2 linked regions of the Drosophila melanogaster genome follow. The protein of the gene in region 2 purifies or fractionates together with the protein of the main gene of each other region. This does not show direct contact. Each region holds a gene or a part of one and is shown on either strand. Other genes may lie near its edges. The genes, in order: CG1227 and CG8839.

Region 1 (3,980 bases), on a different chromosome or scaffold from region 2:
CGACAACAAAGGATTCCAGCTACTGGCCAAGATGGGCTACAAAGCCGGTTCTGGGTTGGGCATAACTTCGGATGCTCGTACTGAACCCGTGGGGATAACTATAAAGAGCGGTCGTGGAGGACTTGGGCGCGAGGCAGCCGTTGCAGAGTTGGCCCTCAAGCGGCAGAAGTTGCGGAGGGCACATCTCCTAAACAAGGCCGGCATTAAAAGCGACGAGGAAGTCAGTACAGAGGCTTATAGGAGGCGCGCGACCCATAAAGCGGAGGAGCGAAAATTACAGTATGACATAAAACGGTGCCAGCAGACCTGCGAATCGTTGGATCTTAAGTCCGCTATCACAGAACCAGATCTCGATTTCTTTTGGCCACCTAAACCAAAAGATGAAGATGAATCACAGAGCGACGCCGACGATCCTGAAGTCGAGGTGCCACCTAAGCAAGAACCATACAGTCCCTCGGAGCAATTAGAACTCCTCACTGGCTACCTGCGCACAGCCTATTGCTTCTGCTATTGGTGTGGGACCCATTACGATGACGCCGAAGATCTGGGCTCCAACTGTCCAGGACTCACTCGTGACGAACACTAGCTCCAATCAATAAAATAAAATAAAAAAACTAGCTTGATTGCTTACACATAATTTCATAAAATCAGCAGGTTTAAAATATTTTACAATAAGTAGTCAAAAAACAGTAAGCGGTGTATCTGGTTTGGAGGAATGTCTATAAATGAGTTGTAATCCAGTTAGTGGGAGCTACAAGCGACCCTCCAGTTTCTGTATCAGATCGTGGGTCCTTTCGATAACACTAAACACGAATGGCCGTTCCATTGGATCTGTTCGCAGCATGTACTTAATTAATTCGTGCATGTCCTAGACAAATATTTGGAATTAGTTTCCTTTACAATATAAAAAAAAGGTTTATTACCTCTGTGTAAATTGAATCCTCTGGAATGTTTATGTTCCCACTGAGCACAGCCAAAGCCACGCTGTCACCTCGCTCGTAGATGGGATCGTAGGGTGAATTAAAGTAGCACATTGCATAGAGCACACAGCCAAGACTCTGAAAGAGGGAAATGTTAAGGAAGAACTTCAATAACGCTCTCTTGGATCTGCTTTACCCATATGTCAGTGCGCTCGTCAATTGTGCAATATGTTTTCACGGTAAATAACTCTGGAGCCCGGTAGACAATGGAGCTCCTCTCCTCGGCTTCGTCCTGCAAGCGCTGAGCATCCGTCTGGCCCACAATCTGCAGTCGGGCTTCTGTCATTGACCCGAGATCCACAATAATTGGCTCAAAAGAGTCCGACAGGCAGATGTTGGCCGTTTTTAGATCTCGGTGGGCCAGAGGCACCGGCATTGCCTCGTGGATGGCCTTCAATCCCTCGCAGACGCCCAGAAAGATTTGCAGGATCTGGGCCTCGGGCATGTGGTCCTGTTTCCGCGATCGCAGCTGAAGGTGGTCCGCAAGAGATCCGTGCTTGTAATAGGGAAGCACAATGAACAAGGTGCTCGTTGTGTTTATAACTATGTCCGCCTGGCCCTTCAGCTCGTAATCCACTACCCGGATCACGTTTTCCGAGTCAATTTTTCGACAGTTTTCGATTTCTCGCAGAGCTATATTCTGATCATCGATGCTGTGGCAGGTGATGCGCTTTATCGCATAGCTACGTCGCGTGGAGGCGTTTTCCCCAAGGTCGATTAGACTGAAGCCCCTGTTTAAACACTCAGATTAGATATATCAGAGGAGATAGTGGGAAAAATGTGGTACAAACCCCGTCGCCAGCCTTTCGCGGATTGTGTATCGAGATCCGTTTATGTTCAGGGTCTCCTTGCGGCAACTAAAGAGGCAGCCGCGTTTCATGATCAGCGTCCATCCTATACTCTGCATTTTTCTTAAATTATGCTATGTACTTCACAACTTTAAGCTTAACAACTAGTTCAATTCACATACAAAATCTAAATAGAAAACACAAAGCTGAAGTGGAATGTTTATACTGGAACGAATTTATGAAGTTCGGTGATTTTTAACCATATTTGTAAGATTCTATATTAACTTTAACTTTAAAAACTAGGCACTTTCGTATTATTTTTACGATTTTAGTTTCTTGACGTATTAATAAATTAATATTTATTTTGATTCCTTGGTGTATAGATTAAAGGAATTCAAGATTCTGTCATCGCATAATCGCAATTTCACTGCACTCCAAACAGCTGATTCGAAGACAGGGCGGTCATATTTGCCATGTGGCTGTGTGCGTTGCCACCTAGTTGCGAATTGTTGCTTACGGATTTCTTATCGTGCGGAATATAAACTTAGCATTTTTCTAATTTAATCAATTATAAGTATGGAGGATGACGCGTGGCTGGACCTCGTGGGCATCAGCGCCGATCCGCCCAACAGACGCAACAAGTGCGAGAAATGCAAGTGAGTGGTGAAGCTGGGAATCTGCCATAAAAATTAAAGTATTTTCATGAACTCTATTATAGACGACCCGTGGTTGTTTGCTGGTGCCCGGCTTTACCGCATCCACCTGAGGCGGTGTCCTCACAGATTGTTATACTGCAACACCCTGCAGAGGAGAAGAGATCGCTACGCACTGCACTGATGCTGCAGTTGGGTTTGGAACCGGGAAAATGTGTCGTCTACAAAGGCAAGCGGTTTCCAAACCATAGAAACCATGCTGATCTGCAGAGGATTTTGGACTCTCCACAAACACTGCTTCTGTATCCCAGTCGGGACTCGGTCCCACTGGAAGAGGTGGACCACAGTGCGGGTCCTTATACACTGGTGCTCATCGATGGTACCTGGCCTCAGGCTAAAGCCATTTACGCTAGCAGTCCGGCTCTACACCGCCTGCGACAGGTGAAACTCATCGCCGTGGGTATAAGTGACTACATCATCCGTACACAGCCTACTGAAGGATGCCTTAGCACACTAGAGACCGCTGCGCAATGCCTGGCAGTGCTGGAATCTCGGCCAGAGCTGAGGCAAACGCTCGTGCGACCGCTGCACACGCTGTGCAAGTACCAACTAGACAACGGAGCCGTGGAGCACCAGTCCAAGGAGTTTCTATTGAAGAACAACCAGTACCCCAAGCCCATTGGCAAGCGGCTCAGCCGTCTGCTTAGAAACACCGCCTGCGATGGCAATGAGGAAACGTGATAGCCGGGGCAGAAAATACCAAATAACTTGCAGGTGCCTGTGCTTTATAGCCAATTTTGTGTTCCGGTCGTAGCCGTATTTGATTTAGTGACGCTAACATTATAATTTTCTACTGATAAGTCCGAGATGTGACCTTTGATGTTATTCATACAGTGGGTTTGTTTCTAGCATCCGTGAGGGCTCTAGTAAACACGCACTTGACGATGGCATAGCCCCGCATGCAAGCATTCGTCTCGTCCTCTGAGGATTACACATTAAAGATTTCGTTTGTAATTAAAAAGTTCTGCCTAGAACACTCACTGCCTTCAGCTTCGCAGGCCTCAACGGAATCGCCAGTGGCTGGCCAAACATATTTGCGCACCAGATCCGTATTTAACTTATAGTCCGTCATCAAACCGGACTTTTCGAAAAAGCAGTGAAAATAGCACTGCAAGTAATCTTTGAGTATCGGGAGGCGAAGGATCTGCAAAGCACACCTACCATGCTGGTTACCTTATCCTTGTCATCTGGCAAATCCCCAGTGTTATTAAACTGCAAGACATTGGCTGAAAGAGGCGATAAATGTAGTCATATATTGCCTTCGTTAACCTTTGCACTCACTCATCGACGTTATGAAACTAGCATTGCAGTTACGATTAACCTCGTCAAAATCTACGTAGTCAGCCTCTCTAGGAGCTGAAGTGGTGGTGGATATGTCATCCACATCGCCATCGAAACTATCATAGTTTATGATGAAAATATCACCATTATCCTTGGCGTGATCCTGTAGAGCCCTGGCACAATTCGGGCTCAAGATCAGAAAAGCAATGACAGCACAA
Region 2 (7,460 bases):
GAACGACAACGAAACCACCGATGCTGGTGGCAGCCACTGGTCACTGTTGGTCTTCTCGCGTCCGGAGAAGACCTTCTATCACTTCGATTCGTATGGGAACAACAACACGGGCAACTCCCTGGAGCTGATGAACAAGATCAAGGACCTGCTTGGCGTCCGAATGGCCAAATTCCGGCCCATGCGCTGCCTACAGCAGGCGAACGGCTACGACTGTGGCATCCATGTTATCTGCATGACCGACCACATTGCCGATTACCTAAACAGATACGAGGTGATCGACGGACTGCCGTCGCTGCACATCGACACCGTGAAGGCGAAGCGCACCGAGCTACTGAAACTCATCCTGTCGCTGGGCGGCAAGGGCTAGAGGCTAGCGAGGATTGCCCTGCCGAACCGCCCACAGCCGAGTAGTTTTTAAGTGACCAAATTACGAATGTAACTCGTTGCCGAAGAATGAGAGGAGCATCGGAATTACATATGTGAATACGATATCCATGATATCGCTAGTTGTAGTGGGTTTAGTTTTCCTTGCCGAATGAAAATGTTTAAAAAACAAAAGCAAACTAAAAGCAATTGAGGCGGTGAGTCGGCATATTTTTAAGGTTGGTCTTTCAAAATAAAGATTTGTTTAGCCACAAAACGCGTTGGCTTCGAATTCAGAATTCTGACTTCTCTGCTTGTTTGGTCAATGGGCGCCTGTCGCCAATTAATGAAAACAAAGATATCAGTTGGTTGCAATTATTTATTATAAATGCAAAACGGGAACGGATCCGCGCGGATCTATGATTAGATTACATTTAAAAACACATACAAAATAGATAAATCCACATCGAAAATTGATATTACAATGAGGCACTGGAGTACACAAGGAATACCTTTCATCGCCAGGCGAATGCTCGGGTGGGTAGGGGTAGTTAGTAATGGGTGGGGGGAGACCAGGACGTTAACCTGACCACTACTATCTAAAAGCTAGCTAAGCTGCATACTTGCACGTTTGAGACTGCTCCTAGAGCCGAACTTCGGGCTTGGCCCAACCGCCAAAGGCTCGCTCCAATTCCTCGGCAACGGCCAAACAAAGTCGATCCTGATTGAAGTTGGCGATGATTTGGACACCCAGTGGCAGACCCTCGCTGCCCAGCTTGCCCAGCGGCACAGCGGTGGCCGGGAAGCCCAGCACATTGACAATACCAGTGTAGGCAAAGTTAATGGGTCGCGTAATGGGCTCATTGTGGTATGGAGCCACCGTGGGATGCGTGGGATAGATCAGCACACCATTATCGCCCAGCAGGCTTTGCAACTCCTCCCTCAGCTCATTTCGTTTGCGCACCAGATGATCGTACTTGGGAGATCCGTGCTTGCACTGTGCACTATCCATGATAGCTGTCGACAGGCCAATGAATGTGTGCTTGGAAGCGCCGAAGAACCACTTGAAGAGCTCCAGGTACGTGTTGATGTCATGATTCAGGTTGCCTAGCTGGTAGGCGAATCCATGGCCACTGTCGTCGCGCATGTTGGCAAACCAAATGGCCGCCGACTGCCGGAAGTGGGGCAGCTGGATGCGCTCCACTTTCTGATTGCCGAACTTCTCTCTCAAGTGCTGTGCCACGCGGTTCATGGCCTGCAGCAAGAAAGATTTCAGATTAGAGGATTTAATTAAGAAAGAAGGTCATTTATCTTACCTCTCTTAAGTCTGGATCAACGGCGGAAACCAAGCGGCCGCCGCCATCGGACTCTTGGTAGAAGAACTTCATTTTGGTTAGGTCCACATCCTCGTCCAGATTAAGCAGGGCCGCCTTCTCGCCAGCCATAATCTTTAGCATGGGTCGCAGGTCCTCGGCAAATCGTGACATAGGTCCCAGGCCGAGGAAGGAGTTCTGCTCGGCACTGAAGGGCGCTGGGAACTGACCGACATTGGAGACGACCAACTTGCTGGGCTTGTGGCCAAAGATGCCATTGAAAAAGGCTGGCATGCGAATGGAGCCGCCAATGTCGGAGCCCAAGCCAAAGGCGGAGGCAGCCGCCGACTGTATGCAGCCCTCGCCACCGCTGGAGCCACCGACAATGCGGTTAGTGTCGTAGGCATTCCTTGTCCTGCCGTGCACCGTATTGTTGCTCTCCCACCACATGCACACCTCGGAAACATTTGTGAGGGCTATGGGAATGGCTCCCGCCTTGCGCATCAAGGCCATAGCGTCCGCATCCCGCGCAGCACGCACATCCCGACGTTCGAAGAGTCCAGCTGTGTGCAGCATGCCTAAAGCCAAACACATGATTGAGCTATAGCAATGGTAATCCAATTAAGAAACTTATGGGAGCTACGCACCCTTGACGGATATGCAATCCTTGGTGGTAATGGGCACGCCCAGGAAGGGCTTCTCCTTCTCCAACTCCTCCGTGCTGTATTGTCCAGACTTGATCAGGGCATCTGCTTCGGCTGCCTCCTTGAGAGCTTGATCGTAACGTTCATCCACGACACAGTTGAGAATGGGATTCACCTCTTTGATGCGCCGGATAAATGATTCCAAGACCTGGACGCTGCTCAGCTGCTCAAGATGAGTGAAAGTTAGGTGTTTTGTAGATGAAACGATTGCACACACTCACCTCCTGTTTGCGGATTTTCCGTGCCAACGATGTGGCGGACTCCAAGAGAATGGCATCTGTGATCGGTGGAACACTCTCACCCTTTTGGCCATAGATCAGCCGGAAAACAAAGCGAATGCAGGCCTGGAGAATGCCGAAAATGTAACCACCAATGGCCTGGGTCAGTGGCACGCTCTTCGCCATTTTGTGGAATTCTAAGGAATGTGCGCCTGAAGAAGCTCAGCTACTAGGACTCAGAATTGGAACTGCGGGTGTTGGTGGCTGTGTACTTTGCCCTGGCCCATGTGTTATTGCTCTGGAATGTTGAAACGATAACAAAAATGAAATAAATGCATTGAAAATTCATGTTAAATATACTTAAATGAAGGAAGGCACTCATGAATGTGGTTTATTTGCAATTTAAACTGGTTTATCAGGCAACTTTTATAAGACCTTATATAGCAAAAGTAAAAAATAAACAACAAATCAGTAGAAATATAAAATTGGGTCAAAATACCTCGTTCTGGATTTATGATTGGTAATTCAGTCATTTAAGTCGGCAATTCATTTTATGGATATAATGGGTTTTACGCAATATATGAACGTTTCATATCGAAACGGAAAATTTCTATTTATGTGTCTTGAATTATTTCGTGTTTTCATGCCACAAAGTCTCATGATTTCGAATAGTATTTAGCATTACTTATCTACAATAATAAATGAAATTGGTGACAATTTTAATAAAAATAAATATAGTACTCATAGTTGTAGTTCTTTTCACACATCTCAGGTTTAATGACTCGGCAATTAATTGAGCCGTCCCATTCCCAGATAGGCCAAGTCCACACCTGTGTGTGACTCATGGATAGATGGATTCATAAAGGCACATAGGAAATATGGAATCTATATTCGAAATGTAGAACTTTTCTCCAAAGTGCATACATAGAGTAGGAAACCGCGATCATTATATTGGTCCCAAAACAAATAAAGTAACTGAAAATTGCACTAAAATTCAGCAAATAATGACAATATACGTATTGTATTGGGAAAAACGTGTATTTCCGGATAACGAAGAAAAGCCAAAGGAAGCCTATGCATAATACTTCGCTGTTCTGGAAAAGGTTGTTTAAACAAATGACTTTACTGTTCAACTCGTAAACATTTCACTGTTTACAAAAACGAACAATGGAAACTTGTATGGAATTGGATATATGTATACACACATAGATATATGGTTAATATATAGAGCTGGAATCGGGGCAGTATAATGTTTAAGGGAGCCATATGCCCGGCCAGAATCAGGATTTACCTCATTATCTTATCAGGAGTGCGCATCAGACAGCTAATTCGCTGCTTAAACACGAGAAGATAATGGCACAAAGGGAAGCAGACCACGGAGAGTGGTGAATAGCCGAAAAGCCGATCCCCGTCAGCTCACTAAACAGCCAGGTCGTTAACCATATCCACATCAGTACTCCAAATGGTATTACAGAAAAAAAAAAACCAACTGATAAGCGGAGTGAGTCACAGGTCGAAGCTGTTTGTTTATGCCATTCGTTTGCCATAAAAAATAGAGCAACAATTGAAATAGTCGGTTTTGAGCAATCCGAAAAGTGCTTCGTGAATGATTAGTGGAACTCAAAGTTCCCACTTCCTATCGCAATGTGCTTATCTACATATTAATAATAAGAATAATATGTTGTTACGATTTGATTATTCTATTAAGAATGCCTTTCAACATATCGCAGTCTGCTAATTGAACTGCCAGACATTCGAATTTTGAATGCAGTGAGTGCATTATAATCAAGTTCGCACTTTCAAATTGCGGTTGGGGTGAATATTCACGGGGGGGGTGGTGACAATTTGTCTGCCCGTGATTTTGAATAACAAACGAATAAAATGGGTAAAATTGCCAAGAGCATGCTATATGAAGTTCAAAGCACTCTGTATAATGAATGGCAATTATTTTAAATTGGTTTGTAAGCCAGAAATGTTCAGTAGAGCCGGGTTTTTCGTATTTTAAAGTTACAAATAGAAATTCACACTTTAATAGCTCAAAGTCTCATGAGGCCGGTTCCTAGAACTCACTCATAATATTTAATGGAATATCTTTTATAAGCCATTCAAAGTTTGATACTAATGGGTTGCAGTGACACAAATCAAATGGCAAACATTTTCCTGGTGCAATATAAATCTTTTTTGCTTCAGTCGGTCGAAGTTCAATGGGTGGAGATGCGGGACGATAATGGTCCAATAATCGGGCACTTAAGTGGCCAATCCGATAAGATTAGCCATAAATAATAATGAACTTGTTGCTTAGCTCCCCTTTTTGGCTCAGTGTCCAAAATATTCAATTGTAAATTACTCGAGCGACATCCAATCGGAATGTCAATCGCAGTTGCATGCCATTTCTAATTAGAAAAGAGTAGACGGGCCATTGATTTCCAACTGGATGGTGAGATATACATATGTACATATATGTACGCAAAAGGTGGAAAAGCGAAGGTTGCGACCGGCGAAATGGTTTCTGGGGTGTGGTAGGGGCGGCATCGGGGCGAGGGAGTTACCCGGGCGTGCGCCAGTGACATCATTTCGCTATTTCCATTTTCATTTCCAGCATATGCTTTGTTTGCACTACGAATTCATCAAGTGTCATTTGGCACTATGTGCGTACACTGTGCACATGTATGTGTGAGTAAAGTTTGTTTGCCTCAAAAATAAAGCAAACAAAAACATAAACTTAAAACAACACAATCCAACCGATGACGTCACGAGGGAGCCTTTTTATTGTTCAAAATGGAACAATGAATGGGTCACAAGGATAAGAATGATCAGAAATAGCACTTTGTTGAAGTTTAAATTGCAAATAACCGGTTGGCGAACAATGATTAGCGGTTACAAAGCGTTTGGCTGTATTCACAATCGCACAGCTACACTTTAGAGCGGCACGTAAACAAAACGATATGAAACCCAAGATAAGCATTTATACACACACACACACAGAGAGAAAAGTCTAGTTCTCCACCGCAGCGGCAAACAAACTCTATTATTTACCCGCTAAGCACAAACTCAAGTCCAATCAGATGGGCGACTTTTTTTTAAACCTACAGCGCTAGCGTGACCGTGCTTGCCATGCTGGGAAATAACAAACTCGGTTGCGACCAAATTATCGATAGACAAATATGGCAATTTAATACGCGTAGTTTAGTTTTGGTGAAATAAGGCAAATATCAGAGGCATAATTTATAAGATTATTAAGTAAAACCATATAAATAATATAAAAATAAAACAATTAGATGAATAAAAGTTCTTCAACAAAAAAGGGATTAGGTTCAAGTAATTGTTTATTATGTGTGAAAAGCACCTAATTCTTAGGGAGCAATAAAAGATTGATGCGGAATATTGTTCGTTGTTGCTGATGCGAGGTGTCAGGTGGAGAAATACTATTTTAATAGGTTTAGTATTTTTAGACCCTTATGCAGGGAACGCACACTCAAGCAGAGTGGCAACGCCAGCCAAAATTCGAGTTTGACGCTTTCAAAAATGACATCCTAAAACGTTTGCTGCCTGGAAGAGAAGTGAAAACGAACTAAAAGTCGGGTATTATTAGTCTAAGGAAATGAGTACCAAACAGAGCCCGGCCCTCCAGCTGGCGGAGGGGCAGCTAACCAAGCTGACTAGCGAATCGGAAGAGATCCGTATGCGCGCGCTCGACCAGATTGAGACGAGATTCATCAGGTGCCTGCAACTGGGCGAGCCGATACAGTTCAAGCCGGTCCTGCTGCTGAAGCAGCTCATCCGCTGGTTCGGGTACACACCGCCGCTGGTGCCCGACCGTGTGCTGGCCATGATTATGGAACTCCTTCGATCCGAGTACGCCGAGGCGGTGATTCGCAAGATTCCTTACGAACGCTTCAAGGCCGAGCTGCAGAAGGTTCGCCGTGTGCTACACAAGCAGGAGTCCAAGCGGGTCAGCGAATTGCTGGATGATATGAATTTGCTGCTTCTCGAGAAGTACAACATAGACCGGGTGACGCCGAGCGTCTCCAGCCTTAGTTCAAATGACATTCCCAGTCAGGCAACTGAATCCGCAGACAGCAGTTCGAATCAGATTTACGACAATCTGAAACCGGAAGATTACGAGCCCTCCTGGTCGCATCCGTGCTTGGACGATGTGGCCACCATGAAGAGCATGATTGATTTGCCACGAAATAGCGTTGAGTTGCAGTTGCAGCTCACCGAACTGATCATCCGTATGGGCGACTACCCAACTGAGTACTTTCTGCAGCCACCGTTCGTATTCTTGCATCTGGTTCAGTTGCAAACGATGACTGACGGTAGCCTGATACATGTGAACCGGGCACTAATTGCCTGCCTGCGGCTGCTGCAGCAGCGCATCTTGTTGCGCCGAAACACTCTGAGCTACGCGGACAGGTTCGATCCTCCGTCACGCCCCAAGCAAGTGAAGGTGGTGAGCGCCTTGGTAATTCTGCTGGAAAATTGCATGAAGCTGATTCGTCCGTTGCTGTTCAGCTGCACAAACGACAACTGGCACATAATGGAGCTGATCGTGGAAATAGTGCGGACCCACGATGTTCTCAGCTCAAAAATTCCCTTAGTGAGCATTACGCTCATCGCGGACGCGGTCAAAAGTCTGCTGGCGTATTGTAACAGTGTAGAAGGCAGTTGCATGACCCAGCTGATGGACTCGCTCAGGATTCCCCGCCTGCAATCGCTGATCCTTAACGGCGTGCTGCACGATATGGTGGCCTTAAATATAAACTATGACAAACGCATGGACCGACGCCAAGCCAAAGCACTCATCCAACCTATAGTTTTGGACAGCGCTTACCTGTCTGGCATGCCCGAGCGCATGAAGT

The links.
Region 1: the proteins of CG8839 (region 2) and CG1227 purify together in Drosophila melanogaster (affinity purification with mass spectrometry, with the first as the bait; one large-scale study listed by BioGRID). This does not show direct contact.

What each region holds. Positions count from the first base shown.
Region 1 is NT_033777.3:7,247,534-7,251,513, forward strand, and holds CG1227 (uncharacterized protein), read right to left. Parts: upstream 2,206-3,980; 5' UTR 1,888-2,205; coding exon 1,772-1,887; intron 1,712-1,771; coding exon 1,117-1,711; intron 1,059-1,116; coding exon 924-1,058; intron 869-923; coding exon 752-868; 3' UTR 618-751; downstream 1-617. Other genes in the region: CG10053 (uncharacterized protein), read left to right, coding at 1-586; Dtwd2 (DTW domain containing 2), read left to right, coding at 2,345-2,424, 2,487-3,162; Obp84a (Odorant-binding protein 84a), read right to left, coding at 3,308-3,402, 3,463-3,589, 3,643-3,707, 3,763-3,980.
Region 2 is NT_033778.4:12,338,887-12,346,346, forward strand, and holds CG8839 (uncharacterized protein), read right to left. Parts: upstream 5,732-7,460; 5' UTR 5,574-5,731; intron 3,211-5,573; exon of another isoform or gene 3,098-3,210; intron 3,045-3,097; exon of another isoform or gene 2,959-3,044; intron 2,897-2,958; 5' UTR 2,785-2,896; coding exon 2,602-2,784; intron 2,544-2,601; coding exon 2,324-2,543; intron 2,255-2,323; coding exon 1,680-2,254; intron 1,619-1,679; coding exon 1,007-1,618; 3' UTR 724-1,006; downstream 1-723. Other genes in the region: Den1 (deneddylase 1), read left to right, coding at 1-367; ana3 (anastral spindle 3), read left to right, coding at 6,200-7,460.